Linked DNA regions of Mus musculus: all the other regions are reported to be linked to region 4. Evidence: microRNA targets listed by miRTarBase, many of them from high-throughput screens and not tested one by one. Region 4 holds a microRNA gene; each other region holds the end of a gene's coding sequence.
What was found. The annotated mature microRNA mmu-miR-24-3p reads UGGCUCAGUUCAGCAGGAACAG and lies in region 4 at 1,683-1,704, shown strand. An mRNA with a match to its seed (bases 2 to 7 or 8) in the 3' UTR can be bound and repressed. Matches are read on the target gene's strand: a 7mer-m8 pairs with bases 2 to 8, a 7mer-A1 pairs with bases 2 to 7 and ends in A, and an 8mer does both.

Region 1 (5,071 bases), not on the chromosome of region 4:
GTTGAGAACCAGTGCTGTAGAGTGAGTTGGGTCCCTTTAGTTTGGTTAAATAGCCAAGGCACAAGGAAAGGGTGGTTGTGAACAGGTGAACACGAAAAGCAGACATAGCCGAGAACTATTTTGACAACCACTCTCCATTTATAAAAACATCATTAATGTCAAAAATGCACATTGTAACTTTCAGTGTTTCAATCACACAGTTTCTATTTTTTTTAACCACAGTAATGTGTCCTTAATGTTCCAGCCATCAGCCTTGTAATGAGCACTCACAATTACTATTTCACAATTACTATTTCTTTCTTTTTCATATACAGTAATTGAAAAGATTTCTTCTTTGTAGACTCCTCGAGACCTGTTCCTGTGGTGGTATAGCTATAACTTGTCTACTCCAAAATGTATCAAATGTACCTGCGTCTGACATCTTCTATACAAGTTTTATTAGTAACACACGCTAGCAGTTACTAGCATTACTAGGTGAGACAAACTTAAATGAGAAGCCTACAATAGAGGTTAGAATTGAGGACAATCCATTTCATTAGCATTAACTGGAGGCATGCCCATTCTCTGAGAATGAGGTGCTGCGATTACTCCTTTTGAAACACTGATACAGAGCACAGCAAATCATTTAAAAAGAACCTTTGAAAAATCATCTCTTCAATCTTCATTAGTACTAGCTCTAAAGAAAAAAAAACGCTTAGGAATAACTAAAGGGAAATTCAAGTTTTTGGATTCTCATGTTTAGATTAGACTATCATCCGTGGATTCTAGCCACAAGGTGGAGCTGTGATGTCATAGTTTGCAAACACAAACCATGTAAATCCAGATGAGAAGGCTTTAGTAAAACACAATCTAAGAAGATAACTTATCGAAACTCTATACTTTTTTCCAACTATCAATTATGTATCACTAATGCTTAGTATCAATTATGTTTCCATTGGCTCGATGCTGCCTTGGCTGTTACAAGCTCCAGCAGATTCAACTACCCCGTGATCTTCCAAGAGATCCTATTACAGTCTCAAAGGTCACTGAACAACACTTTAAGGAACACCTTTTTAAATTACTTAAAAAGTTATTGTGCAATTATGCACAGAGCAGTTTACTATCTACCCAAATTCACAGGAAACTTCTCTGTCCCTTAATTCTCAGTGACAACGTAACTTACAAAATTACAACGTAATTTACAAAAATGAGGCTTTGAAACGGTGACTCTTACGGCATGCTATGGCAATTTTAAATTAATGACTCATGTTTTTACTATTATATAATATAGGCAGAAATTCCTAATTTACAAAGAATATTAATATTCAAAAGAAGCCACTTATTTTTCAGTGAAGACAAAACATGCTAATTGGTTTCTTAATGTACAAATAAACAAATATGAACATCATCAACTTGACAGCACAAAAAACGCTCTTATAACTTAACATAGGGTTATGTACCTGTATGGCAAGAGCCCTTCCAATGGGCTCCAAGCCCAGTCCACAGCTCAGTTTGCATTTTAGAAGCATGCATCCATGTACTTTTCTACTTTCTTAATTTAAATCAAAGCTTGTTTTTTACACACACACTCACACAGCCTCTATGTTTTCCTTCAATGTATATTTAATAACAATTCCAAGTCTGTACTTGTTCTGTGAAAGGCCACAGAAAAACACTGCTGACAAAGCCTGCTTTCATGATGTCCTAAATAATTTAATTTTCCAAAAACAGCATCTAGTGAAAGGAAGTTATTTATACAGACTGATTCTCCACCGTGAACAGCAATTTTAAATTCTATTAGATTTGTCTGCCATTTAAAGGGATCTGGTGTGTAAGTGGTCCCAAACTCTGAATGAATGACATGTCTAAACACTAACACATAAGGTGTGCTCTAGTGTTTAGCCAGCAGGCAAACTAGCAAGAAAGTGGGCTACTTCTATCACTCAGAGCTCCGCTTATTACATTCATGTGTGCTTTTCCCAAAATTTTACTCTATGAAATTACCAATATTAGTTATTTTTTAAGGTAAAGCAGAACAGAGAATGAAATACTAGAATATAATGATCTGTTCTAGGGGACAACTTTCATACTGATTCCATGTGCATAAATAGTTAGTAAAAGCAGACATGAGGCATGTATAATGAACGGGAGTAAGAGGTTCTGGTTTCAAACATTAGCGGAAGAAAGAAGAAAAGGAGAAAAATAATGTGGAGCAAAATAACTATCATGAGGATTTGCAAGCCTGTCCTTTTAGACATGTAAATGATTTTTTGTGTGTGTTTTCTTTCAATAATGCCTAAATGCATTCACATAGTGAAATATTGCAGTTGTAAGGAAAAAGCACAAAATCCGTTTGCTCTTCCAAGGTCTCACACGTTTATGCTCCTCTCTAGAATTTTATACACACACACACACACACACACACACACACACACCGAGAGAGAGAGAGAGAGAGAGAGAGAGAGAGAGAGAGAGAGAGAGAGAGAGAGAGAGAGAGAGGACATGGATTTTTTTCTTGCTGGTCTTACACTCCAGCAGCATGATGTTTACCTCATACACACTCTCTTGCAGAGACATCTGTCATTTTGTTATTCCTGAAAAGAACACATGAATCATGGCTCCAGGAACTCTTCCCATCAGCGTCTCAGTAGTCCATTTTCTCCACCTACCCAATCCTACATCTCCCCATCTTTAACTTGTATCATCTACTTGTGGGAGGTTTACTCTAATTATGATTCTAGGATACACTGTGTATTATTTCATTAAAGGGAGACGAAAAATGAAACCCGAAAATTTGCTAATGTGCTGTGTTTACTCAATTCCTGAAAACATGGCCTGACGTGTCACGAAGGAGCCAACGCCTGGCATCTGGCCCCCTCTGGACAGTGTAGCATGTGTCCGAGGCTAGCCTGCAGAGAGTAAGTCTGTTAGTCTGCTGGACCTGGATGGTGCCACCGCCAGACCAGATCTACTAATTGTGAACACTGCCTGGAGTGCGATTAGATTAATAAATCATCACTAAAACGCGTCCTCAATCTGGCTGATCTACTTTGCATGTTTGGGGACACCAAGAAGAGCACAAGGAGGGAATCCCACTTCTTCCTGGTGAGCATGAGAGCGGAACCACCATATCCTCATGGCTTGGAACAGAACCTGGATCCTCAGATATTCAAAACTACAACTAGACAAAGATGCAGACTGAGTGAATGTATGGCTTTCGTTTGCACTCCTATAGAATGAATTATATCATCTCCCTGGTAAGATGACCTGTCACCGTACGAGTAGAAAAATATAGCTGAATTTAAAATGTACGTAGTAACTGATATACTATTAAGCCATCAAGGTAAATGAAATAATTACGGCTTTTATATCAGATATGCTTTCAGGCTAGTTTACGATACATTCAGTTCTAAAGAAACACCAATAAGACAGAGAGGCACAATGTTTATTTTAAATTATTTTATTTTTCATTATTTCCTAACACACAGAGTTAGAAAAATGAATTTTGGCACCGTGAATAAAGACTTTCTTCAAGTTTAACCTTTAAATTAAAAACAGTAGCTATAGTATATTTAAACCTCATTTGGAGAAATATTAAAAATTGAAATAAAAAATTTTGCTGTGGGAACTTTTAACAAGTAGGGTAGAGGAAAAGTAATTAAGGAGACTAAGAATGAGAAAATAGATTGCAGTGAGGGAAAGAAAAACCCCTCCCCTAGGGGGAAAAAAGAGACCAACTACCAACTATAGTCAAGGGTAAGGAACAGGCTCAAAAACCATCTTCCTGATATAAAATTCAAGTACGTAAGCTTTAAAAAAAACATAGTAAAATTTACTACTGATCTCAATGAAACTGTTATTTTTCCTTACTATTTTCTATAATGGGGGGGGGGGGGACTAGAAGGAAACAAATCCTGCTGACATAAGGACACTTGGAGCTGACGCTTGAAGCACTTTGTAAAGCAGAAAGACATGAGCTTCCCCTGAGACTTGCCCTGGAGGAACACAGGGGCCCAATTTCCACCAGAAACGAACATCTGCCTCATGCACTGTTCCTTTCCAGTGGCTATGCTTCCATGGCTATCTGCACTAGGTTTCCTGAGGGAAACCTTTGTGCAATATTTTCTTTGGGTTTTCTTCCTAATTCCTGGAAAACAGCCCTACACAGAGGTCAATGTGACTTAATAATTACATAGAGCCAGTAGGCGTCAGAATCCCAGGCTTTCAGGTTTGCTGATTTTCATTTAGAACCGTTTGCTATACTTCCCCCACCGATAAATAAAACCTTCTCAGGTTCTTCTTAAATAAGAACATATTACCAGGCTTACTTATTATCATTTATGCCTTTGTACCTAAACATTTTATAAACTGTCATTATTTTCAGAGACAATTAAAGCACAGAAATAAATACCAACTTTCACTTTTTTTTCCTTTCTTTTCTTCTTCAACCTGTGTTTTAAGGCTCAGAGCAGACATAAAGAGACATCACACAATTTTATATAAAAAGTGTTCAAATGCTTGGCCCAAAGTGATGTTGTTCTGTTGACATTATTCTTCTTGTCTTCTCAAGTACAACTTCAGAGACATGTTCACGCCAGTCATCCATCTCAGAGAGCCATTCAGTTTGAGTTACGTAAATAACTTAGGGATCTATAAATGACACTGCAATGTATCGTGTTCCATTTTTAACAGGAAGTCCTTCGTGCAAATGTGTGAGCCTCCCAGGATGCATGAAGCTCCAGCCTTTTCGTGGGGACTCAATGGAGCAATTATACCTCAGAAATTTGCATCCACCTCCCTAAAAAAGTTAAACACAAACATGCACATTTTTAATCAGTAGCAACATTCAAACTGTGCCATCTAAATGGCGAGCAAAAAACAAACAAACAAAAACCAAACAACAAAAAAACAAATATCAGCAGAGCCTTTTCCATAATACCACAGTTCCTAAACTTTTTTTTTTCATATGTTTGTCATAATTACCTGAAAATCCTCTCCTACATTATTCAGAGCAATGTTGATGGTAAAGGTTGAGGCATCGTGGTGGGGACGGAGCGAGCGCTGTCTTTCAGGTGAGTACTTTACTACAAAA
Region 2 (5,057 bases), not on the chromosome of region 4:
ACTGTGGAACTCATGGTCCCTCTTGCCGCCCTCATCTCCCGGTGTCTCCCTATGCTGCCTCTGCCCACTTGAGACACGTTTCTCCGTCCTTCCCCGCAGCTCAGCCCTCTACCTTTCTCAGCTTCAGTCTTCTTTCAGAACGTCTTTTCCACCAAAAACTGCACTTAGGGACTGCCCTCTCCCTTCACCCCTTCCTCTCCAGAACCCACAGTCCCATTTAGTGGAACCCAGCGGACTTGACGCCCACTCTCCAATCTGAGAAACTGAGGTTATCTGTTTCTTTCCTTTCAGCTCCAGGGCTCCCTGTCCGGCGTGGGTGGGGAACCACAGCTGTCTGTCTTTAGCTTCCTTTTGTCTCCCGTTCCTCTTCTCTTTGCAGAGTTCTTTATTGATGGGCTGGGGAGACTGTTGGTGGGCTCTTGCCCGGGTGTAATTATAAACCACCAAGTAAGAACACCACCAAAGGATCCAAAGCTGGCTGCCTTGGAGAAGACTTATGACAAATACCGGGCCAACACCAATTCTGTGATCCAATTCAAGGTTGCACTCCAGTACTTCAAGAACCATCTCTACTGCTCCACTTAAAAAGTACCAAGACCAGGAATCGCAATAAACAGATTAGCGGCGGGCAACAAAAAAAATAGTAGGATTGGACATTGGAGGGTACCAAAAGCAGACTCCTAACAAGGGGAACAGGGAACAAAGAAGCTGGAAGCTGGAGCTAGGGTAGGACCCTGAAGTCGGCTCAGGACCCCCAAGACCAAATTCTCAGCACAGAGATTTATCTGCCCTAGAGAGAGAAAGGGCAGGGAATGAGACAAAGACAAGGGCTGGAAGGTGGTGGGGCACACCTTTAATCACAGCACTCCGGGGGCAGAAGCAGGTGGATCTCTGCGCATTTTGAGGACAGCCTGGTCTACAGAGAGAGTTCCAGGACAGCCAGGGCTACAGAGAAACTCTTATCTTAAAAAGGCAATAAGTTGATCTAAAATAATGTTATTTAAAGCCAGATGATAAGGTTGGTGTAGTGTTGTGATCCCAAAGCCCAGTAACTGAAGTAGGAGGATTGAGTTCAAGGCCAGCCTGGGCTATGTAACAGCCCATCTTTAAATGAGTGACTAGGGGGCTGGAGAGAGCTCAGTGCTTAAGAGCGATTAGGACAGAGGACCTAGATTGGCTCCCAGGACCCACATGATGAGTCACAACTTCATACCTGCAGTTTCAGGGAATTGGAAGCATCTGCTTACCTCCAAAGGCTCCTGCATATGAGTGGTGCATACATACACGCAGGCACACACATATGCACACAAAATACGCTTTAAAATAAATGAAGGAATGAGTGAATGGCTAAATATTAACCAAATAATTCCGATTTTATTTTGTCAAGACTGCCTGGCCTAGCACTCACTGTGTAAGACTGACCTCACACTCATGGCAATCCTCCTGTCTCCACTTCCCAGTGCTGAGGTATGAGGTGTGAACCACAATTTCTGGCTTGGATTTTTAAAAAGAATTTACACACACACACATACATACACACACACTGTAGCTGTCTTCAGACACATCAGAAAGGGCATCAGATCCCATTACAGATGGTTGTGAGCCACCATGTGGTTGCTGGGAATTGAACTCAGAACCTCTGGAAAAGCAGTCAGTGCTCTTAACTGATAAGCCATCTCTCTAGTCTCTAGCTTGATTTTTAAACTTTGACTTTTAAATATACTTATTCATTATAATTTTTTTTCTTTTTGAGACAGGGTTTCTCTGTGTAGCCCTGGCTGTCCTGGAACTCACTCTGTAGACCAGGCTGGCCTCGAACTCAGAAATCCGCCTGCCTCTGCCTCCCGAGGGCTGGGATTAAAGGCATGCACCACCATGCCCGGCTTATATTTTGATTTTAATGGGATATTAAGATGGATGTTAAGATTGTGAGCTTTCAACCCTGTCTCGGAAAACCAAAAAAAAAAAAAAAAAGAAAGAAAAGATTGTGAGCCTTCATGTGGTTGTTGGGGATAGAATCTCCACTCACTCCAGTCAACCCTGTTCTCAGTCCCTGCTAACTCCGGCCCAAAGATTTATTTATTATTATAATTATTATACGTAAGTACACTGTAGCTGACTTCAGACACACTAGAAGAGTGTCAGATCTCATTACCGGTAGTTGAGTCACCATGTAGTTGCGGGGACTTGAACTCAGGATCTTTGGAAGAGCAGTCCATCCTCTTACCCTCTGAGCCATCTCGCCAGCCCATTTCAACACTCTGAACATACTTACACTTTATTTTTTACTTCCTGAGGTAAATATTGCTCTGAGCTAGACCATAGAAAGCCAAACACCAGTGGGTAAGGAGGCGAGGAATGACATGCCAGCTAGTTGTGGTGTGGGCCTTTAATCCCAGCCTTGAATTCAGAGATCCTCTAGCCAGGGCTAGGCAGTGAGCTCTGTTTTGTTTTGTTTTGTTCTGTTTTCAGAACAAAACCAAAATCAGGGGCTGAGGAAATGGCTCAAAAGGTGAAGTGTTTGTTACCCAAGCATGAGGACTTGAGTTCAGATTCCCAGAAGTAAGGCATAGCTGCCAGTCTGTAACCCTGGGCATTCTCACAGCAAATGTTAACATCCTCCATTTTGACTGGGTTGTCGTTAGCATGCTCAAACACAGTCTTTTCTCTACTTCAAGATCTAGAACCATCTCTCCAGAAGAGAGAGAGAGAGACAGAGAGTGAGTTAGTTTCCTATGATCCAGTAACACCTCTTCCCCAGGAACACAGGATGTTCTAAAAGGACATCCATTCAACTCAAAGGGTTCAGGGACTCCCTGAAACCCACCAGACAGACTAGGCCCCCTCTTTTCCAAGTATATTAGCTGTGAAGACTGCTGAGAGGCACTCTCAGACAAGTTGAGCTGCCTGAAACAGACATTCTCTAACCTGTTGAGCTGTCTGCAAGTTGTACAGAGGGCTTCAAGTTTACAGCTTTTGTGACATGGTGAGCTTTCATGGTGCCGCTGTCTTTCGAGTCATTTGTGATCCTGCGGTAACCCCTCACCCATACTTCTGTCTGTAACCCCAATAAAACTCATCAGTCTGCTATACTGGACTCGGGTGGTGTGCTTATTTTGATCCGTCATTGGTTCCTGATTGGAGTGAGTACATGTTTGTCCCCATCTTCCCAAGGTTAGTGTCACATGGCAGGGTGATATTAAGAGTCTCTGAGCACAAAACTGGAACATTTCTTCCTTTGGGTCTTCCCGTGTCCCAAAGCAAGTGGCTCAGTGACCAAGTCTGTTAAAACATTAGCCACATTTAAAGACTATGAAGGCCCAGGGCCCACTCTTGAGACTGCCAGCCACATCAAGTGGAGTGAGAGGGCAGGTTAAAAAACAAAAAACAGAAACACAACGAACCCCCTTCCTGCTAATTCATACTGCAGTAAGCAAAGACAGGGAAGCAATCTTTTTTTTTTTTTTTTTTTTTGGTTTTTCCAGACAGGGTTTCTCTGTATAGCCCTGGCTGTCCTGGAACTCACTTTGTAGACCAGGCTGGCCTCGAACTCAAAAATCCACCTGCCTCTGCCTCCCAAGTGCTGGAATTAAAGGCGTGCACCACCATGCCCGGCTGGAAGCAATCTTTTAATGCCACCAGAGGAACACAAGTAGGGTTACAGTGAGTGTGCCAGTTCGATTAAGTTAAGAAAGAAGGTGTGGGGAATGCCTGGGACAAACCTGAGCATGGAGAAGTGGGGACACAAAGGCAGTCACTGTCACCTACACACTCGCTGTAGGGATATAATCCTCTTGAGAACCCATACCAGGCCAGTTGTGGTGACAATGTCTTCGATCTCTGGTCTACAGAGCCAGTTGTGGGGCAGGAGAGCTACAGAGCTATATAGTGAACCCTGGAAAGTGGACCGGGAGTGGGGGGGGGGGGCGGGGAGGGGAGGGGGAAATTATGCCAATGTGTCCTGTGCAGTCATGGGACCCTTTCGGAGGGTGGGGCAGGTCTCTATGTAGCCCTAGCTCTCCTGGAACTCACAGAGATGAGCCTGCTTGTGCCCACAGAGTGCTGGAATTAAAGCCATGTGCTACCACGCCCAGCTCACATGGCCTTTGTAAGAATGAAATAAGCGGGAAAATAAATGAGGTCTACAAATGCCTAGTGTTCAAGCACAGCCTTGAGGTACTGGGTTTCAGACCCAGGACAAGAGGCTGAGGTTTTGGTATTTTACCAAAGCAGACCTGGCCTCCAGGTTCTCCCAGCATCCCTCAGTCCCTACTTGAACTCTGCAGCCCAGAGGCTGGGCTTCTCCTCAGAGGTTCTTCACTATATAATCCAGACATTTTGTTTTGGTCTGGGCATCCTGTACCCCCAGCCCCCTCTGCATTTCTCTTCCCCCCTCCGCTCTGTCTCCTTGTCTGCACGGTGACCTCCCTGGTCTCATTTCTTGGGACTGGTGAACCTGCCTAAGAGCTGCCTCCAATAAACCTGCCTTTATACTTTAACTTGGCATGAGCTGGCTCATTTCATCGTCGGAGATAACCTATCAGGAATCTCAATGTCAGATGGGGTTAATTCTCAAAATGGAAACTCTGTAGTGTTCCTTCTGATAATATGCAAGAGCTACAAACTACTTTTCTTTTCTTCTTACTTTTTTGTTTGTTTGTTTGTTTTTGGAGACAGGGTTTCCCTGTACGATAATAGCCCAGCCCTGGCTGATCTGAAACTTATTCTGTAGACTGGACTCAAACTCGCCTGCCTCTGCCTCCAGAGTGTTCAGATTAAAGGCGTGCACACCGCCCGCCATGCACACCCACACTAGAAAATCTCTTATCCATTCACTCAGGGACAAACTGTCAGACTCTTACCAAATGAGCGCTTGGACTTGGACTAACTGCATTCGTGACTGCATGCACAGAAGAGGAATTTAGCAGAATAGTGGACAGCTCATAGCACTAGAAGGGGGTAGACAAAGCAAGCTCAGGGAAGTGGCCAAGAATCCAGGGACTGAGGCAACCAGGGGCCCAACAAGGCCAGTTTGCTTGGCATGTCACCTGAGAGGA
Region 3 (5,071 bases), not on the chromosome of region 4:
CTGTGATCAGCTGCCCTGACCTTGACTTCCAACTTGCAAGGTGTACATGAGATGTCAGAGCTCAGAGCTCTGGGGGCAGGAGGCAGGACTTTTGGAACACAGGGTTAACAGGCATCATGGGTCAGAGGCCAGGATGATGGGCTAGGTGAGTGACAGGAGCCTAAGATGTCTGAAGGCCTTGTCCAACTGAGCCAGCATCTTGTCCTTGACCCACACTCTGCTCTTTCACCTCCTCTCAGGCTGGAGGGGACAGTGGCCTGGCATTCCTCGTGGAATTAAGGAGTCCCCAACTCCAGTGATACCAGCCCAGGATAGTGAGGATAGGACATCCCTGGGGACTGTACACGTTGTAGCTGCCATGGAGTGACAGGTATGTGTTTTCTCCTCAGAAGCAGACTGAATTTGATCTTGATTACTGTGAAGGACCGGCCAGTCTGGGATGCTGTATGCCATGTGGAAGGGCCAAAACTGCCACATATCATCTTGATGGCCAGCTGCCAGGCACCAGGAGAGCCTCTGGAGCCTCGCTGAACCCAGAACCTGCCACCGCCCCAACCACCTTCCGCCTGACATTTCTGAGCAAATAGCAATGGTTTCTCATCAGCCCATCTTCCCACAGAGCAGGACCTTTCCATGGCCTCCCAGGGACAATTCAGATTGCATATACCTAGACCCAGAATCAAGTTGTTAGCATATACAGCTGCCTATATTCATTTAATAAAGCATACTACTACAGACATTTTCAATACATAGGAACTCGGGTTACCAAAACAGTACAGCTCTGACAATGCCATGTCTGTTTTCTGGGAAGCTGAGACCACAGGGACCCTCATCCTCTGCAACAGTGGGAGTCCCAGGCATGCTCAGAACTGCACCAGGCCTGGCCCTACTTGTCTTCTCAAGGGAACAGATTGTTGGAAGAGATCTCTGCATCACTGAGTGGAGGCAAGCCACATTTTGTGCCAGACTTGTCTTGTGTTCTGATTGACAAAGAGCCCACTGTTACCTTCAGTTCTGAACACAACCAAGCTATGACATTACCATTGGATGCTAACCATTCTCTTTAGTTAACTGTAATTCTGGTTTTTTTTTGTTTGTTTGTTTGTTTTTGAGTTTGAATCATGGACCAACTTCTCCATTATCAGATCAACTAAAGAAACCATTGTTGTAAAGCCCAATCTACTGACCTGTAGCTCCCTTCAGCCCTTCAATCCAGACTCCTTTAGAACAAAAGGAAAGTGATCAAAGTAGAGCCAATTGCTGTGGCTTTGGTCACCAAAGTGCTCAATGCCTCCTGCAGGTCAGAAGGAAATACATGGTGGCTGGAGGAAGAATGAGGCTGAAGGGCTTGGGAGATTTGAAGTGACTAGAGCTACACTGTTCTTGAACACAAAGACCTGCAGGTCAGAGTTCCTGGCAAAATGCCTGTCACACACCAAGGGCCCTGGCCAGCTACTGGTTTCATGATCCAGAGGTGCTGGGCATCACTGGACAGATTCCTGTGAGGGTGTTTTTAAAGTTCCACATTTATATTCCCAACCTGAGAAACAAGTACTCTATCTACTTTTGCCTAAGCCTCATGTCTTTTTAATTAAAATCACAAGAAATGGTGCCTTTGAAACAATGGAAAACTTGCTTAGGGAACTGTACTAAACATTAAAGCCCCAGTCTCACCTAGGCTGGCTTCTCTGAGAGCAGTAGACAAAGCAGGGTAGGGGAGGGAAAGATGACAAACAGGATGTGTCATCATAGCCCCACTTACCTCTTGGAGATTCCATCAGGAGACCCACAGGCAGGGCAAGAGCTTTGAAAACCAAGAAGCAGTGGTCAACTTCCAGGTGTTCTCCTCCCTCCCTTCCCAGGGGAGGGGAATAGTCTGAGGATGAACATGGCGGCCTTCAGCCTTTTAGGAAAGAGGGCTTTTTTTTGTAATCCAGGGCCCTGGAACCATTATAAGTTGTTTCTCCTGCCCTTCCTGTTCCCATAGGGATGGCCTCACGTTTGATTGGAATTTATTATTTTGTTTTATTTTTGGGGTTTTTTTTTTTTTTTTTTTTTGACTACTTGGCAAGTTTTGTTGCCTATTTTTGTATCCTTTCTGTTTGGGGAGGGAAGCTATTTGGCCCCAAACCTTGAGGAATTGGAAAGAATAAATGGTGAGTGATTGTTTTTCTTCAGAGAACAGAAGCCTGAACGTTCTCCAGAACATGTTTGTATATGTGCAGATTTACATATCCATATATACAGGACACATACTTATTTGATACTTTATTCATAAATCGTACAACTGATGTGCATTTGAGCTTCATGTGGATGCCTAGGGGGAAGTAGTCTGTGTGTGAAGAGAGAACAGTATACTGGGCAGCTGGAGCAGCAGGGGAAGCCATCTCCTGTCTAAGAAGCATGTGTGTCTCACCTGAGCCCAGACGCCTGCTGGGCTTCTCCTCCAGAGCCCTGCTGCACTAGCTGAACAGTAGACTATAAAAATGTCTGAACAATGTACATGGAACAGAAACATTACGTTACTTGGTGGACATTATGCAGGACACAGAGAGCAGCCTGGTCTCGGGCACTAGGTAGTCTTCTGGATGGGAAGTTGCAGTAACACTGGCCCCAGCACACCTTTCTCAGAGCTGGTAATGGCAAGATTGTTCAGGTAAGAAACAAGTTGCTTCCTTTGCCCTTGGATAGGGGAGGGAAGTTGTGGCTTGGACCTTGTTTGATAGATAATGGTGAGGGAGGTGGTCATAGCGTAGGCACTCCAGGGAAGGGCTTTGGGTACCAAGCATGGGTGCACTGACAGAGGAGTTGGGGTGTAGGTTGGCAGATACCAGGTCTATGGTTACTATGTGACATCACAGTGGCCTTGTACAGTTGGAGGCTCAATAGAAGGCTGGCCGTGGCTGCTGAGGTGGGGTGGAATGTGCTTCTCCTAACAAGGTGTGCTTTGTGACATGGTGAGTCTTGCCCTATCTTCTGCACTCACTTGGACTTACCAGAGGCAGTACATTCTAAGTGTCTTTTGTGCTGGTCTTGTATATTGATTTTTTTCTACTCATATATGTCAGTTCAGTTACAGATCAGAACCAACTCTAACAGAAACCTAAACTTATACATAAGCTTTGCATATTATTTGTAATTTTTTGATCAGATTTTTTTTTCTTTTGGTAGTTGGGTGTGTTAGTGTTGGGAGTCCTTTCCCTAGATGACTTTGAGGTCTACTAGTGACGGTCCTTGCACTTTTCTCTTGGCTGGGTGTCAGCAGCTGCCAGTGAACAAAATACCTTAGCACGAGGGCACCCTCCCCTCTGGAAGCACAAGGAGAGTTGGGTGGGACCTGGTAGGTAGCTACCTGTATCCTAAGTCTCTCTCCAGCTGCCCTTGGGTATGTGCTACCAGGAAGCTCAGCTGCATTCTCCAGACCCAGATGGCTCTCAGAGATTTTACTTGTTCTGACAGTAGCTATGTCATACCTGTGTCCCTTCCTCCCTGCTGGCCCTAGGACATCTGTCACACAGCTGCCTCCTGTGGAGGGTAGGGATGAGGGAGCAACCTTGCTGGTTGGAGACTCGTTTTGTCCTCTAGGTGAGTGTTGAGCTGTCCCTATCTTGAGCCATTACCTTTTGTCTTCCTAGTTTCTACGTGGACCAAAACCCTCAGAGTGGAGCAGCTCAGTCAGTGCCACTGTCACAGCCCAAAGGCACTTTCTGGGAAGCCGGCCAAGGAAATCCTAAAACAAAACTTAGAATTTGTGTTTTTACTAAAGCCACTTTGCAGATGAAGTTCTATCATATTCATTTGTAAGGCTCTGTTTTCTGCAGTAGTCTTCTAGATACATAAAGGTCTTTGGTCAGCTCATCCTATCCAAATTTTGGCATGCTGCCTGGTTTTTCTTATACTAGACTGAAGCCTTTTCGCTAACATCCCTGATTTAGCCTCATCTTCTCCTATAAGAGCACACCGTTCACCACCAACCTGCCCAAACCTTTATGAGCTGATTTCCATGTGTTATAGCACTGGAGCCCACAGGCCTTTCTAAGTACAGGTCTCCCAAGACTTGAGCCTGAATTATCCACATTGCAGTTTCTTCTGCCTTGGTTCAGTGGAGTAGGTAGGTTGCTGCGCTCTATCCTCTAGGGCTAATAAGGCTGTTGAGGGTCTTCAGTGGAATGGCTGGGTTTAGTTTTGACTAATGACAGAACTGACGATCGTACTATCTGCTGTTTACATCGCTTACTAGCTAGAAATCCAAAAGGAATGGGGTTCTCAGAGTCTGTTTCTGCCAAAATCTGTGATCTCTTGTGCCTGGCCACTAGGGATGGCTGGCATCTAGGTAGTGGCAAGCCCAAATGTACTTTCCAGAATTTGTACTTTGTTGTGGTGTGAAAGCAGCTCAGAGAGTGAATGGCCCTAGGACTGAGCGCCTGCTTTGTTCTGAGTGCTTATTAACCCAGCAGGCCTATGAACTTGGTCCCCCAGACTGGAAAGCCAAAACAGGGTTTTCTAGTTCTGAGTCTAGCAGGAACACCTCTTCCCAACTCCCTAAATTCTGGAGCAGGGATGTAAATCCAGAGAGAACACTTGGGCTGCCTACTACAGACTAAGGCAGATTCTGGTTGCTACAAGGAAGAGGTAGGCACCCGCTTCCTTGGTTCTTCAGGCTCTTATGGATGTGGGACTGAATGGATTCAGTGAAGTTACCACTCTGTTGTCTCTTCCCTCCTTGAAACATACCTTGCAGCTACTCTGGCAGGAACCAGGCAGAAGAGAGGGAGGACAGCTATTTGGCAGGGACTGTGCTACATGGTGTCTTCCTGCTGTTGACAAGGGTGGGCAAATGGCAAGTTAGAACACCTGGGAGGGGCTTGCACATTTACCTGCTATCAGTGCCACTTTTGTCAAGAGACTGGCATACTGTGCCCACAGTGGGCACCTGTATGTTAATAGCTTTTCTTGATCTATGCCTTTTGACACATGTTCCCTTCCATGGAAAGTGGGTGATTCAGTTTATTCAGAACTTGAGTTGAAGGTAAACTGCCTAGGATAAAGCCTGCTCAATCACTGAATATAA
Region 4 (5,071 bases):
GCTATAGATAGCTGTGCTTGTCATGTAGGTTCTGGGAAAGAAACCTGTCATCTCTCCAACATTGAAATTCTTTAAACAATTTTTAAAAATTGTGTGTGTGTGTTCCCAAGTGCAGAGATCAGAGGACAACTTGCAAGGGTCCGTATGCTTTTCTTCTTCGTGGTTCTTGGGTTTGAGCTCAGGGCATTGGGCTCCATAGCAGCTCTGCTCACTTGCTGGATCAGCTTGCTGGCCCCTGAAAACTTTAACTGGCACGCAGGACACTACTCTACATTGGGTAGGCCCCAAATTTTGTGGCTTGCCCTGGTACTGGGTGCTAAATACCTTCTCTGTAAGTTTTCACTGGCCTTCCTAGTAGAAGGTTTGGGGTTTTGTTGTTTTATTTTTGTTTTTCTTCTATTTAAGACTAGGGTCTCAAACTGTAGCCCAGTTAGGCCTAAAACTCATCATGTAGCTTAAGCAGGCTTTTGACTCCATTCTTGGCAACCTTCCTGCCTCAGTTTCCTCAATGCTGAGATAAACGTGAGCCACCAACTGCAACTGTTGTAGTCTGCTTTACAGATGGGGAAACTGAGGCTTGGAAGGCCTAGGGGAAACTTTACTGAGGTGTTATTGTTGGGGTGCATCGGCCTGCTTCTCCTTGCTTGGGCCCTAGGTGGTGTGGGGTGGGGGTGGGGTTATGTCTGAGCTGGCTGGGGAGGAGAGGGCTGAGGTGGGAGGCCCTGGAGTTTCCTCCTGCCCTTCAGGCTTCTAGGAAGTGGCGCCAGCTGGGGTGAGGTCACTTCCTCCCTCCAACCGTCCACCTCCCTCAGCTTCCTCTCCATGGCCCCATTTGGCCTGCTTTGGGCTCAGGGCTGTGGGTGGGGATAGAAGCAGAGTGGGAAGCAGCTGGGAAGGCTCTGCAGCCCCTTTGGCCTTAGGGCTTCAGGCACCTCCCGCTTTGTAGGGCTGGGGTAGAGGCACTGCTGGGTGCCCAGCATCCAGCAGCCTCGCTCCAACCTTCCTACGGATCGATGCTCCTCTTTTTTGGGAATGCTTCTTCCCTCTTGGAAGTAGAGGAGGGCTAGGGTGTGGATCAGCAAGCTGAGTTTAGATTCTGTCCCCAGCACCACTTAAACTGTGTGTGGTGAGGTGTACCTATAATCCTAGACTCCAGAGGTAGAGGCAGGAAGAACTGGTGCATTCGGAAACCTTGTGTTCAGCTATGTGAGACCCAGCCTGGTCAAGATAGGCAGGCAAGCAAGAATGCTCCAATCTCACTGTCTCTTCTTTCTCTCTTTAGGTGCTACACTCCGCTCCCACCTGCTGCCCCCCTCACTGTGCCTCGGACGGCTGGGGTTCCTGGGGATGGGATTTGATGCCAGTCACAAATCACATTGCCAGGGATTTCCAACTGACCCTGTGCTCTGCCTTGGGGGCTCCTGTCGCCAAGGATGTCTGTCTTGGGTACTGGGTAACAGAGAAGCCTATCATGACAACTGGCCTGAGGAGCAGGGCTTAGCTGCTTGTGAGCAAGGTCCACAGCAAAGTCGTGTTCACAGTGGCTAAGTTCCGCCCCCTGGACCCCATCTCCTCAGGCCGCTGCTGCCCACCCTGCTCTGCCTCCTGGCTGGCAGGGCTCTGCCTCTCTCCGGGCTCCGCCTCCCGTGCCTACTGAGCTGAAACAGTTGATTCCAGTGCACTGGCTCAGTTCAGCAGGAACAGGAGTCCAGCCCCCTAGGAGCTGGCAACCCTGCAGAATGTCTGCCGTGAGCAAGACCTGGAAACAATGGGGTAATTAGTCCAACCTAAGCCCCGTTGTCTGCTGGAGGCTCAGCCTCTAAGCCTGCATCTGGGTGTCCACCTTGAGATTTCTGTGGTTCCCCAAAGCAGATAGATGGGCGGGTAACCCTTGCATTAAAAGCCAGTTATGTCCCCTCAGGGCCTGGAAGCCCTTCTTTTCCTAAGTCTGGTGGGGCTCAGGCACCACCCCTTATACATACCATCTTTGAAGTCAGTTACCCAAGAGGAAGCTGCTTTAGGCCCTCTAACGGTTAAATGCCAACTCTCTGCTTCCGGAAGAAGGCACTGACCTGATCCAGTGTGCCTAGCAATCCCATGGGGTCTGCAGCTTTCTGCTGGTGACAGCGAGGCAGGGAGCGAGGTCCACACAGGCCTCAGGATATGAACAGATCCATGCCCCCCCCCCCCATTGGCCTGTTGAAGTAATCTCCAGGCTTGGAAGTTAAAAAGTTGCCTACTACCCACAAATGAGACTGCATGCAGACTAATTGGAACTGGCTGAGTTACACTTCCCAGACCATACAGTGTCCTCTCCCTACTCTGGGCAGGGGCAAATCGAAGCCTGGGTGGAAGAACAGAGTTGAAAGCTTGTATTGAATGTTGTTCTCCAACTAAATAAAAGCTCCACAGCCTCATTCCGTAAGGGCTGACGTCTCTTCATTCCCGCCTCCCACATGTGTGTTGCTGGCTTTTTTCATTTCTCTTGAAACAGCATTTCTGTGTAGACCAGGCTGACCTTGAATCAAACTCCTCCAGTGTCTGGAGTTTGGGAATACCAGCTGCACCACTATATCTACCACACCCTGGGCTCCTAACCTGCATTGCACCTATCCCCAACCTTGCTCCACCTGCTTCTAGGAAGGTGTAAATATAGTTCTGTGGTCAGTAGGTGCTGCGACCTGAAGATCCTGGGATCCTTTGGGGATGGCTTGAACGGGAGGGATAACCCAGACCTGGGGTGTATGAGACCAATCTGTGGTCACCCCAGTTCCATGAGGGAGTATGTTACAAGAATGTACTCTGCCTATGCTGGGATGCACTGACTGGCAAGATGCCAGGGCTTAAGGACGGGCACATATGCGCGCACAGACAGACACGCGCGCATGCACACACACACACACACACACACACACAGGGCTTAAGGACGGGCACATATGCGAGCACAGACAGACACGCGCGCATGCACACACACACGCACGCGCGCGCGCCCGTCTACACACACACACACACACACACACACACACACACACACGCACGCACGCACGCACGCGCGCGCGCCCGTCTGCGCCAGAAGGGCTAAGGGGCGGATCGCCTCTGATCGGCTCCCTGGAGCAAAGGAACGCACCATGAACTATGGCCACACTCATAGTCACAGCCAGCTCCCATAGTGCCCCACAGAGGCAACACACACACACACACAGCTTCCAAGAGAACGGTCCTAAACAATGACCCTGTCAGACACAGCTAAGGACATAAAGAACCGGAGAATGAGAAGAATGCCCAGGCCGTCCGCTGGATGAATCCATCTAAGAACGGGAGTCTCATCCACAGCCCAAAAATGCAATGGGCAGGTCACTGGGGACACAGGCGTCCCCAGCTGCCCTCCGCACCTGGTGAGACCTCCGGAGCTCCGAATGACGTTGTCTGGAGCCAGACGCCCCCTGGTGGTCATTTCCTGCAATGAAGGACAGTGCAATCTGGGTGCATTTTCCAAAAACCTACAGACTCTAGGTTTGGGCGTTTTAAGCCTCCTGACTTGCAGAGATTATGACATGCAGATGGAAAAGCAGTAAAGCCACCAGCAAGAGGTGGCTCTTCGTGTCACCACGATGCCATGAAGAAACCAGCAGCCTCTCCTGTCCCATTCAAGTTGTGCCCAAAAACCGAGATGGAAAATTTTTTGGTTAATTGAGCAGGTGGTAGGTACCCCTGGCCCCGGGTGTTTGTGTTAGCAATGCAACCCAGTCTTGAAGTTAAAAAGAAGTTGTGTTCAATCTTTTTTTTAAAAAAAAAGGAAAAAAAAAGGAAAAGAATACAGTATGGGGTTCAATAAATAAGAAAAAAAGTTACAAAATGATGCCAACTTTTTCCTTAATATACAAGAGAGAAGACAGGTGCGTCTGGGGTGGAGGCTCTCCCTTCTCTTCCTCCCTGGGCCAAGGCCTGGGATACAGGAAGGCCTGTCAGCAGCTGGGACTTGAGAGAGATGCAGACATGGGGAAACTAAGGGAGTGGGGAAACAAATGGAGGTGCAGAGCAAGAGGAAGACAGAACGGGGTCCCTGGCTGTCTGCCTGTGCCTCCCACAACAGGCTGGAGGGCAGCCTGACTCCTGAGTTGTGTATCCAGTTACTAGTGGTGGGGTCTGGCCAGCAGAGAGCTGTCCCCAGCCTACCCTGTGACCTTGGTGCCCAAGAGAAGACAGGCCCTGGCTTGACAAGGGTATTTGGGGGTGAGGTATGTGGCAGAGGCCCAAGACCTCTTAATATCCTTCAGTGGGGTGAGGCATTTGTGCTGGAAAGCTGGGGCTGGGGGCGCAGGGCAGTGGGACAGGAGCCCTGAGCTGTGGAGAGGGGAGAAACACAGTGGGAAGTAACTACCCTGATGTGAAGTGCCTAGGCTCCGGCCAGCTCCGGCTCTGGAGCATCTGCTGCACTGAGTTGGAGGCCTAACTTCACTCTGGCCCAGCCCTTCTCCTGGAAGTCCCAGCTGACCCTGGGAGTCTGGAAGAGCCAGAGCTTGCTTCTTCCGTGTGAGGTGCCCAGGCACATACTCCCTGCAGGGTCTAGTTAGCAGTATGGCTTCGGATCCTCAGATCGCATGTCCCGTTTGTCTGCACACTCCTAGGCACACACCTGGAATGATGTCACCCTCTGCCTCCCACCTCTGTAACTTTACTGCAAGTAGCCATGGGCCTCCTGTTTGAGGAAGGTGGGCCTGGGACACCCATGCTCCCGGCTTTCTGCAGTTCCTCAGCCAAACCGTTCCCGAACCAACAGCATCAACTTCTTCTTTCCCTTGTACGTCTGTTTCAGGTTTTCTAAGAACTGTGCGAACTGGAGGTGCCCGTCTGGTGCCAGAAGGAAGGTCTCTCGAGCTTTGCCCAGGAACTCAATGAAGTCACCATAGTGGCGTGGGCTAATGTGGGTGAGGCGAGAGTGGCTGGTGGTTATGTACGCGGCTACTGCGGCATCCAGAAGCTGACAAAGTGGTGCCCTGTCAGTCCCTAGTGGTTTGGTAGCCCTGCGGGCCCCCAGTGGGCCCAGCCCGGGTGCTGAGAGTGTCCAGCG
Region 5 (5,071 bases), not on the chromosome of region 4:
TTCTGCTGTGATCCCTGGCAAGGGAAGTACAGCCAGGAAACAGGGCAAATTAATAGCTGACTGGGTTATTGGGGTATGTGGCAAACTTAAAGCAAAATTATAGAGAGCAGTTACTTGACTTTCACTTGGGCAGACACGGATGGGAGAACAACAGAAAGTCCTGGATAATAACCAGATCTCCTAAAATGTGAAAGGTTGGAACAGTGGGCAGGTTCTACAGTGATGTTACAGTGAAAGCTGAGGTTTTAGACTCATGTGTGTTTTCATGTGTCACAGGTTGTATGTGGACATTAGGAGATGATCCTGTTTCTGTCTCCTATCTCACATGCAAGCACTTTAACAAACTGAGTCATCTGGAGGCTACATGTTTTCAGTAGGCCTTTGCTAACATTGATTGCTCCCTTCAAACAGTTTCACAGCCTTTGAGATGGAAAACCTGCAGAAGTTGCAAGTCCTTTCTACAACAGCAGTCTGCAAGTGGAAGTTGTGGGCCTGGATGTTAGGGCACAGTGCAGTGCGTGTGACCTACAGTCATCTGCAGGGACATATCCAAACCTGAGATTCCTATCCTAGCACTTGTTGCTTTGTAGCTCCAGCCCAGAGCTACATGTGCACCTAGCCTGTTGGAACATGGTCCAAGAATGGAGCCATGTGCCGGGCAATGGTGGCACACATCTTTAATCCCAGCACTTGGGAGGTAGAGGCAGGCAGATCTCTGAGTTCGAGGCCAGCCTGGTCTACAGAATGAGTTCCAGGACAGCCAGGGCTACACAGAGAAACCCTGTCTCGAAAAACCAAAAAAAAAAAAAAAAAAAAAAGAAAAGAAAAAAAAAGAATGGAGCCATGTGAGAATTCTGAGTGTTCTGAGAAATATCCAAGAAAATAAGAGTCTAGTGACCTTAGTTTCTTCAAAACTTGGAATGTGCTTTGTGCTCTGCTCAGGTGAGGCCCACAGGTGTTTCCTTGAGACTATTCATTCATCTCAACTAGCTACCGTTACTTGTCCACGCGCCTCCAGTGGAAAGCGTGTTTGCCACGTGGGTTTGAATCGATGAGAACTTTGCCCCAGTGATGTCTCTTAACTCCCAGCGTATAAACTGTCTGATGTTCTCAATGAGGTTGGCTATTGTGTGAGACTTCAGTCCACCTCAGTTTTAGGCTCCGCTCTCCCAGGCCCAGCCACCAACTAGATCAGTAACTATCTATCCATGCTCTGAAAATTCCAGCTAAAGCATGCAGACTCGCCTCAGTCTCCTAAGCACCCCACAGCTCAAGCATCACACTTCAGTCGAGGAGAGGGAAGCAAAACCGGAGTCTCTTACATTGCCATGGACAGGGAGTGGCCCATGACTACCCAGAATCAAAAATCTTTTTTTAGAAAAAACAGACCAAAATGCTAAAAGACCACACAAAGCCAGTCCCAGAAGACCTAATTGTCCAGGTCAGCAGAGAACATGTTCTGCTCAAGTGCAGCACGCAGGGGACCCAGGCCCCACTTCGGCCAAGCCCCAGGCAGTCATTACATATGGAAGGCAGACGGGATCAGAGCAGTTCTGTGAATAAAACTTTAATAATGTACAGCAGAAACTGGACAGGCTCATTCTTATATTAAAACAAAAATTTCCTATATTACAATATATTTACATTTGCATACTGGAGAGGTAAAGTGTCTAAGTGGCTATTTTACAGTCCTTTCTAATAAATTGTACAAAAAACAAACAGAAGTACCGAGAGTACCGTTCAGGGGCCTTGACGGCAACTCAGGAACGAACGGGCTTTAGACTTGGTCTGTGAATCCAGAACGCAGAGGTGCGGGTGCCCCGTGGATCAGGGTGGCCTCAGGGAGCCAAAGCACAGCTTCTCCCAACTCTCAGCTTAATGTAAAGAGTGATGGGGGGGGGGTCCCCCAGACCTGCTCCAGGCTTCCTGAGAGGCGGCTGAGCTGAGCTGCACGGAGCGCACAGGTCTCCTGGGAGTTGTCCAGTGGCGTGGGGGTCACTGTGAGGCTGCTGCTGGCAGGTACAGAGGCAGAGAGGACTCTACAGTTCAATCGCCTGTAATCACGGATACTCAGCTGCAGGGTGGGAAGTGGGAGGTCAGCAGGGGTGGGTAAGGAGGTTCCCCAGAGACACAGTTGGGACTCAAGGGACACTGTTCAATGGCCAGTAAATTGGCCCAAGGAATTAAAGGAAGATCCCTTTAAAGCAAGGAAAGTTATACACCAGGAAATAAATAGAAAGGCTAAGAATATGGGGAGACCAAGGCAGGAGAAGCTGGAGGAGACAGTTTCCCTGCAAAGACTCATGCCTCCCCTGGCAGGAAAGGCTCACAATGAACCCAGTCTCCAGGACCCACTGCTTGCCAGGGGCTTCTCTTCCCAAGGGGATACAGGTCCCCCTTCCAGTTTCAGTGGTCTTTAAGAACAGTGATCCTAGCTCATCAAGGCTCTCAGGACCAGCCATGAGCACTTCTGGTCTCCACAGCAGGTGCTCGCCCATCGCATGATTCCATTCCCTCCAGTGGTAGAGGAGCAGAGCAGCGCCCAAGCCTGCCCCACCCTGAGGAGATCCTCCCGGGCCAGCGCTCAGCAGGCTCGCAGCCCACATTTGCTGAGCAAGTATCTGGAAAGGGTCCAACCAGCCGGGCAATGTGCAGAGGGCCGAGGTGCTCACGGGATGGGGCCGAGGGTGCAGGGAGTACGAGACAGCAAGCCCCCATGGGGAAAAGCAGCCCTCACTGCTCAGCGGGATCAGGCTCAGGTGCAAAGACAAGCGTTTCCAGTGACTGAACTATGTGCGTTTGAGTCTGGAGAATTTTTGTGTTTTGTTTGTTTTAGGGATTTCTTTAAAAACAAACAGACTAAGAGGTAATTGTCACAGAGATGGTTCTCCTTTTACAAAACTTAACAATATTAAAGTTAAAATCCTGACCCTCCCCCCAAAATAAAATAAAATAAACTGAATTAAAATAAACCACTCCAGTTAAAAAGTTATGGCTTCAAAGTTATTATATACCTAAGATATGCTGACCAAATCACCACCCACAGCCAGGCTTCTAGAATTCATTAAATACTAAACTTAGGTTAAACACCATATTCAGCTCGGACCGCTCACTCTCCTCAGTAGGGACCCTGAAGTGGATGCAAGCCTTGCCTCTTCTCTACCCTGATCAGAGAATCCAGTACAAGAAGCCCATGCAGATGCCTCCCTCCCACCCCAGCCTCCCTCCCCACGCCCTGCAACCCATCCCTTCCCACCCCAAACCCACCACCAAAAATATACACTGCAGTTTGCAGAATCTGGGGTGGGACATAAACAGATGTTACATTCCAATCTGAGTCCCAAGCTCTGGCTTCGGATTCCTCGGCCCTTCCTCACAGCTGTCAAGGAAGATGCCCTTGGGCTGGCTCATTTCCCATGGCTGATGCTGAAACACAGCACCCAAGACTTCCACCTACATTCTCTCTCTGCTCATCAAGTCCCCCTCATTTTGACCCAAAAGCTTCTCCTACCATGGACAAGTGGGCCAGCTTTGGTTCTGGTCTGAAATGGAAGAGGAGGGCCTGTGACACAGGGTGGGCAAGCAGCCTGCTGAGAAGACAGAACCTCCCTGACTGATGGGGTCTGGGGACAGGAGACACCTAGGAGGGCACCAGGTTAACTACATGCTGCTCACTGAGAAGCAGCAGCACTCAGAGACAGTATGGCCACCACACCCTGGCCTACACATGCACAGAAAGCTCAAGCAGGTTAAGTGTACACACACACACTCACTCACACACACACACACACACACGGGCGTGGCACAGACCAGGCACAATGTGGGACACACCTCGGCACATGCGCACTTGGCTGGACAGACAGGCAGCAGGTTGTGTCTCTAGGGGCAGTCCCTCCGGATGTCCATGAGAAGGGATGGTGTGGCTCAGGACTGCCTACGGGAAGGAGGGAGGAAACTTCCGGTTCCTCTCAATATCTTGATGCCAGTTGACTGGTCCCTGGAGGAAAACCTGCAGCCCAGTGGACCACAAGGTATGGGGGCCGCTCCTGGGCGAGCCCAGCACCCTTCACCGCTCCTGGCAACACGCCAGATGCACTGGGCTCTCTGTACTTCCCACTGCAAGCAGTTTGAGTTGTGGCATTGAGTTGTCTACATGATTTGCTCAGAGTCTCCATGCCATCAGGAGGTAAATATAAAAAGTGTCTGTCTCAAACCCAACGGGAGTGCGCGTCTCCCAGGCTCTGTCCCTCTTGCAGGCCAGGGCTCTGGCCAGAGGGCCGGGCAGAAACAAGAGGTAGGCCTCCACGACGCTTGCACGGTGGCTGCAGTCATCCTCACTGCCCAGGTTCTTTGTGTAGGCAGAGGAACAGCTTAAATCTTCACATCTTCCTGCACGCTTAGCTGGGACAGAGTCTTCTTGATGCGCAGAGCTGTCAGACGGGCAGCACCATTGGCGTACCAGCACTCCCGCATCATCTTTCCCATCACTCGCAAGGCCTGTGAGAGACCCAGAGTGAGAGACCCGCAGTGAGAGACCCACAGAAGCCTTGGCCGCTGGCACTGGCTCATCTTCGCTGCCTGCCTATTCGTCAGGTCAGATCCACCCCGTGATGCGTTGAGGCTTTTTTCCTAGGCCTTCCCTTCCTTAAGGGGCAGAGGTGCAAGGGGAGAACGGACAGCAGGAAAGTCTGGCTCTTTCTATCTCGCCCTCAGCTAAATCTAAGGCACCCAAGCATTTTGGAAAATATTGCTCTCTTCTGCAACCACAAGCAACTGGTAGGCACTGAGGAGCCCTCAATGGGTTCCTAGGTGCAGAAACGCCCCCTAGTGGCCAGGATCTTTAAAGGTAGAGTGTGCTCTCCTTAACATGGGAGGCAAGGAGGTTGGAAGAGGACGTCCTAACTCTGAATGGTTTTCAGAATTAGCAGAGCTGAAATCTGCCCAGAGTTGACCTGGAATGCTCTCTGCACAGTCATAAGGCAAGTGTATATATATAAACAAAGATGTGTTGAGTGGCTTGACCGTGGTAGTTCCCACAGCCTAACCTAGTGTAAAGTCAGCTGCAAATGTT
Region 6 (5,071 bases), not on the chromosome of region 4:
TGATGATGGTAGTGATGGTGATAATGATGACAATTGTAACCATGGTGATGACGAGATTTCTCCTACAAGCAGCAGAGAATCTTGGGTAGGAGCAGCATTGAGCCTCAGAAACCAGCCTTGTCCCTTTTCCTATCAACTCTCAGGCTGAAACTGCTGGAGGATTCCAGCCTGGACACAGAAGTGGACCCTGGGAGGGACTCCAGTGCCACAGACGGTAAGGGAGAAGAGTTCCATTCTTGTCCCTTACAGATGCATGCCCCGGTTTGCCAAGCACACCTGCTCTTGCATGCCCTCTTGTTTCCAGTTCACCAATGGGACAGTATCCTGGTGAATTTGGGGATTCTTCCTGCATGGGGGGAAAAAACCCTACAGCATCAGGAGGTGGAATCTGTAACAACCACCAGAAGCCTGATGAACCCTGTGGCCTTTTCTTTCCCTCCAGGGCCCTGTGCTGAGGTTCTGGCCCAGCAGAGAGCAGCCACAACCCACCTGCTGCAGGTACTTGAAGACTTGGAGCAAGCCCACGAGGAGTTCCAGAAACGGGGATAGGAGCAAGTGGCCCTCTAGGATGCTGGATGCTGAGAAAGTGCCAGAGCCAGCTGGGGACAGAGCCATGGGGCCTCCCTGAGCATTCTTTGGCCCAGGCATCTTCTTGAGGCCCCCTTCTTCACTGCTTGGGGCCTCCCAGACAAAGCCTGGTCCTGTGTGCTCTGTAGCCAGCCAGGGCATAGGAGCCTTTGGTAGGGCCCAGTCTTGTACTGACCAAACCTCACTTTCTTCTCTGAGCCTGGAGTCTCAGCTTCACTGGACACAGCCCTTCCAATACCCGTGGCGCCCATCTCACCCCAAGCTGCTGGATACAGCTGTACCTGAACGCCAACCCTGGCGGACTCAGAAAAGCATTCAATAGGCTTGGCCAGGAACTTCCTGTTTTCCACTTCTGCTAGCCACTGTGACCTCACAGATCCTTCTGTATTCCACTCTCATCTGGCAGCCCCAACCAGGTGTTCTCAGAAGAACGGACTGGGGGCCCAGCATGCCAATTCAGAGCCTCGAAGCCGGACACAGGCTCTTCCTCTCTCTTATACCCTGTATAAAGTGATGCGTGAGCATGCTTAGCCGTGACGTGTTAAAATCGGGGTACCCTAGGGCTCAGTCAGAAGCTCCTTGGCTAGAAACAGAGGTTCCCAGACCCTGCCCTAGCCACTGAATGCATCTGACGGTCTGGGGGGGCATCTGAATTCTGGGGCTCAATGGTTCTGTGAGTGTGAGGTATGATTTGAGAGTGACCCACAGCGGAGGAAGTCGGCTGGCGGAGCCTGTGAATTCTGAGTTTGCCTAAGACAGAAAGGCAGGGTGTGGCGCTATCCCATGTGTGACCAGCAAGGGTCGCCTGGAACTGGGGCATCTCCCACAGGCTTGGGTCCACTTGAGCTGCCAGAGCCTCTTCCCCTGCTCCTTGCTCCAGGGTAGGGTGGCCTCGGTGAGCTGATATGGTGTCTCCCAGGTCTTCCTCATTCTCCTGGAGGGCTGCACGCAAGAGAATCCTGTCTACTTCTCTTGATGCTGCATGACTGGGCAGTTACAAGACCCATGCACTGCTCCCCCACCCCACCCCACCCCCACCCCCGCCCCACCGTGGTCCTCCGTTTGCTATTGTCTTCCCGGTGTTCCAGAGGAGCACAGTCACCCAGCACCCTCTCTTGGCAGAAAAAGGCCTGACAAGGAGAAAGACCATTTATTTCTCCACCCACAGTGGGACTGGTAGATTTTTTTTTTTTTTCCAAAAGAGCAATTGCTGGCGTCCCTTTAAAGCTTGGCTGACTTCCATCCCAGCAGCCAATCCTCAGAGGCGGAGCTGGTGAGTTGCCTGGGCAACGGGCCTCTGGTTGGCCTGAGACGATCAGCCGCCCACCGCCCACTTTCAAGCAGGGAGAAGTTTAACGCTTTGCTGCCTGCTCAGCTTGATGCGTGTATAGCCTGAACAAGGCCTCCTCCCCTCGCTCCTGAAGCCAGAAGTGGGTCTCAAATGTCCGGAGCGGTTTAGTGGGGGAGAAGCCGGTACAGAGGCAAGGACGATGTCTTTGCCTGGGATAGACAGAGGTCAAGAGATGGACACAGGAAGAAGAAGAAGTCAGGGTCCCGGGAAAGATAGACACAAGCACAAAGTTAAGATAGCCTCGTCCCCAGTGGCCTGCGAAAAGCTACTTAATAACCTGGGGTTTCTACCCCATTGGCTTTGCAGTGCTCAGTGGGCAGGTGGCAGCGCTGACGTGGGTTAAGGGGTTGAGGCCCAGGGGCAGAGCGACCCCTTGAAGCCTTACAGAGTCCCCCCCACTATCCCGTGCTTGACTCAAGTCCTGGGAAAGGGACGAGCCTATACAGATGTAATGGAGACACAGGTATTTCCACAGGACATGTCATGGGGGCCTTTCTGTCTCTTTCTCCCCAAGCTGGGAGAAGTGGAGAGGCACGTGGTGTACGTGCGTGAGTGCGTGCGTGCAACAGGACACGTGTGCGTTTGTGTGTGGTGTGAAGGGCAAAGCGCCATCGTTTTCCATAGGGAAGTCGCCCTTGCTGGTGGTCCTATCTCTGCTGCTCTTGCCGGAAGCCACAGGTTGGAGCCAGCTGGCCTGGTGGACTCCCATCACCCCCCCCACAGCCACCAGCCAGATCCCCTTAGCGCTTCTGGCTCCTCCCGCCGAGAGCGGAGGGAGGCATGTGCCAGGCTAGAGGCAAGGCAAAAGGGAAGGCGGGCAACTCAGGCCTCAGGCCTTGGCCATGGCCTCAGAAACCCCCTGGGCGGTGAGCTCAGCCAGCACGTTGTCTAGGTAGCTGGCGTCGGGGTAGCCGTGACCAGTGAGGTTGGAACCAAACTCCGTCTTGTGGTGAATCTCGTTCCACACCACGGTGTCCGACTCGCCCGTGGTGTTGGATGTTCCGATAGTGAAGATGAGTCTGCGTTCCCAGGCGGTGATGAGCAATCTCAGCACCTTGGGGGGGGGGGGATAGGGGGATGGGAGTGAATGTAACGGGCAGTCTGATCCTTATGCCTGTTACATTACACCATCCATTCACTACATAAAATTCTGTTTCTTTCGGAGCCTGTCATTAGTACAGGCAGGGCTTAGACCCCACTCTTAGTACTAAAGAGTCAGTTTGTGAATTAGTTCCCACGATTAAAGATCTGGAGATTTCACAGGGCAATCTAAGGTGCTGGCTTTTTGGTTAAAGAGGTAAAATCAGGTGCCCTAAGTGTGAAGATGAGGGTTTGAAGGGCTACTTGGGTTCAAATCCTGCCTCTGCCACTTGGTTGCTGTGTGACTGTGCGTTAAGTTTCTTACCCTCTGTGAACCTTTGTTTAGCTAGTGAATGAGAGGAAGCAGATTCAGGGCCTGCTGCGGCCGGGCAGTGGTGGCACACGCCTTTAATCCCAGCACTTGGGAGGCAGAGGCAAGTGGATTTCTGAGTTCGAGGCCAGCCAGGCTTATACAGAGAAACCCTGTCTCAGAAAACCAAAATAAGTAAATGAATGAATAAATAAATAAATAGATAAATAAATAAATAAATAAACAAACAAATAAAAGATAGCGGCTGGGGACTCTGCCATCATTTATTGTGGAGACCAGGTGGGCACTCACCTTTCGGCCCTTCTCATTGTTGGGTAGGTAGCAGTGGCGAGGGAAGCCTCTGGCTGTGAACTTCTTGCCTGGGTTGGGATGTTCAGGGCCCTGCAGGGACAGGCAGGAGGGTTTCAGACCACTGACGGAATCGGGGAGTTGGGGGAGGGGCAGAGAGTTGGGGCTGTGGCCTGTGGAGCTCACCTGGATGCCCGTGGGGATGTCATAGACGATGCGGATCGTCTGGGTGTCTGCAAAACCAGGCAGCGAGTGCGGGATGAGGTGAAACTCCATCTTCCCTGGTGGCTGTGTCCCTGTCTTCTCCCCGTAGATGGCTTTGCAGGTTGGACACTGCAGGCTGCCATCCTGAGACAGGGGTGCTGCTGTGAGGCCCCTGGGGTCCCACCGGGGCCCCGCACCCACTGCCCACCTCACCGCACGGCCCCCTCCCACTGCACGGCAGCCCACCTTGTGGCCCACCTTGTTGCCATTGGAGTACATGGCCACCAGGCAGAGCAGGTGATACATGTGGCCGCAGCGGCCCAGGCGGCCCACAAGCTCGGGCCGCACACTCTTGTTTCGGAGCACGCCCTCATAGCCAGATGCTGTGACCAGCCGCTCCATGCAAATGGTACAGTCCTGGAGGGCCAGGGAGATGGGGGAGGGCCATGAGGAAGGCCAGAGAGGGGTACAAAGTTTCGTGGGGAGGAGATGGAAAATCTTGGAGCTGACTCCTTGCCTGCTTAGCCCCTGAGCAGGGGTTAAATGCTTAATCACCCGAAGCAAAAGCCGGAATGGAAGACTTGGCATAAAACCGTCCATCACAAAGATGGACAGGTGCGATGCTGTTAAACTTAAGCTCCGCCCCCCCACCCCCCCAGGATCTGGTGAGGACAGTGAGGCCAGGATGGACAGGAGGAGAACTGGTCTTGGGTGCTGAGGCTCCACCTGGCTGGCTCACCTCATCAGGCGGGTTTTTCACCTTCTGCATGTACCTCCGAACCACATCCTCAGGATTCTTGCCTGCAGAGACAGCGGGACGAGGGAGGAGTAGGGGTGGGGCTCAAGTGCTGGGGAGCAGATGGGGGAGGGGTAGGAAGGAGGGCTCGAAGGGTGGGCTGGCGGAAAGCAGAGGCAGGTGCATGCTGGGTCCTAAGAATACTGCAGTTGTGTTTGGGGGTCACACGGGACCTACTTTTCTTGAGGTGTTTCTTCTTGGTCTTGCGGCACACGCCGGGCACTCCAGGCACAGGCTTCACGTCGCTTTTGCTTACTGGTGGTGGGTGCAGGATGGGTTTGGGTGCTCGTGTCAGGCACACCGGCAGCCCCGCTGCACACAGCAGGATCCCGGTCATCCCTGGTGGGTGGGGGTAGTGATGAGGGGGTGGAGTCATGAGAAGCCACGCCCTCCTCATCGTTGGGTGGGTGCCACAGAGGGTGGAGGGCAGGGT

Region 1: miRTarBase lists Plod2 as a target of mmu-miR-24-3p. Seed matches in the 3' UTR shown: 7mer-m8 at 4,440-4,446.
Region 2: the mRNA of B4galnt2 is a reported target of mmu-miR-24-3p. Seed matches in the 3' UTR shown: 7mer-A1 at 1,600-1,606 and 8mer at 2,231-2,238.
Region 3: the mRNA of Zhx3 is a reported target of mmu-miR-24-3p. The part of its 3' UTR that is shown has no 7-base or 8-base seed match.
Region 5: miRTarBase lists Acvr1b as a target of mmu-miR-24-3p. Seed matches in the 3' UTR shown: 8mer at 3,921-3,928, 7mer-A1 at 3,404-3,410 and 7mer-m8 at 2,753-2,759.
Region 6: the mRNA of Rasal1 is a reported target of mmu-miR-24-3p. Seed matches in the 3' UTR shown: 7mer-m8 at 782-788.

Annotation. Positions count from the first base shown.
Region 1 is chr9:92,606,781-92,611,851 of GRCm38, reverse strand. It overlaps Plod2 (procollagen lysine, 2-oxoglutarate 5-dioxygenase 2), which reads right to left. Exons shown (of 19, transcript NM_011961.3): 18 at 4,963-5,071; 19 at 3,424-4,777. The coding sequence ends at 4,622. Among named protein-coding and RNA genes, the nearest start is that of B430319G15Rik, 66 kb to the right of the region's middle.
Region 2 is chr11:95,861,599-95,866,655 of GRCm38, reverse strand. B4galnt2 (beta-1,4-N-acetyl-galactosaminyl transferase 2) reads left to right here. Exons shown (of 11, transcript NM_008081.3): 11 at 380-3,097. The coding sequence ends at 585. Among named protein-coding and RNA genes, the nearest start is that of n-TQttg6, 4.9 kb to the right of the region's middle.
Region 3 is chr2:160,766,944-160,772,014 of GRCm38, reverse strand. Zhx3 (zinc fingers and homeoboxes 3) reads left to right here. Exons shown (of 4, transcript NM_177263.3): 4 at 390-1,568. The coding sequence ends at 400. The region is part of intron 32 of Plcg1 (phospholipase C, gamma 1); the gene reads right to left. Among named protein-coding and RNA genes, the nearest start is that of Plcg1, 38 kb to the right of the region's middle.
Region 4 is chr8:84,207,193-84,212,263 of GRCm38, forward strand. Mir24-2 (microRNA 24-2) reads left to right here and starts at 1,623; the gene lies at 1,623-1,729. It overlaps Zswim4 (zinc finger SWIM-type containing 4), which reads right to left. Exons shown (of 14, transcript NM_172503.3): 14 at 3,750-5,071. The coding sequence ends at 4,754. It overlaps Mir23a (microRNA 23a), which reads left to right and starts at 1,326; the gene lies at 1,326-1,400. Mir27a (microRNA 27a) reads left to right here and starts at 1,480; the gene lies at 1,480-1,566. It also overlaps Mir3074-2.
Region 5 is chr15:101,210,163-101,215,233 of GRCm38, reverse strand. It overlaps Acvr1b (activin A receptor, type 1B), which reads right to left. Exons shown (of 9, transcript NM_007395.4): 9 at 1,550-4,497. The coding sequence ends at 4,372. Among named protein-coding and RNA genes, the nearest start is that of AU021063, 8.5 kb to the left of the region's middle.
Region 6 is chr5:120,678,480-120,683,550 of GRCm38, forward strand. It overlaps Rasal1 (RAS protein activator like 1 (GAP1 like)), which reads left to right. Exons shown (of 22, transcript NM_001359144.1): 21 at 144-214; 22 at 443-1,118. The coding sequence ends at 549. Dtx1 (deltex 1, E3 ubiquitin ligase) reads right to left here. Exons shown (of 10, transcript NM_008052.3): 5 at 4,816-4,977; 6 at 4,582-4,643; 7 at 4,101-4,259; 8 at 3,825-3,986; 9 at 3,642-3,731; 10 at 1,785-2,993. The coding sequence ends at 2,769. Among named protein-coding and RNA genes, the nearest start is that of Dtx1, 31 kb to the right of the region's middle.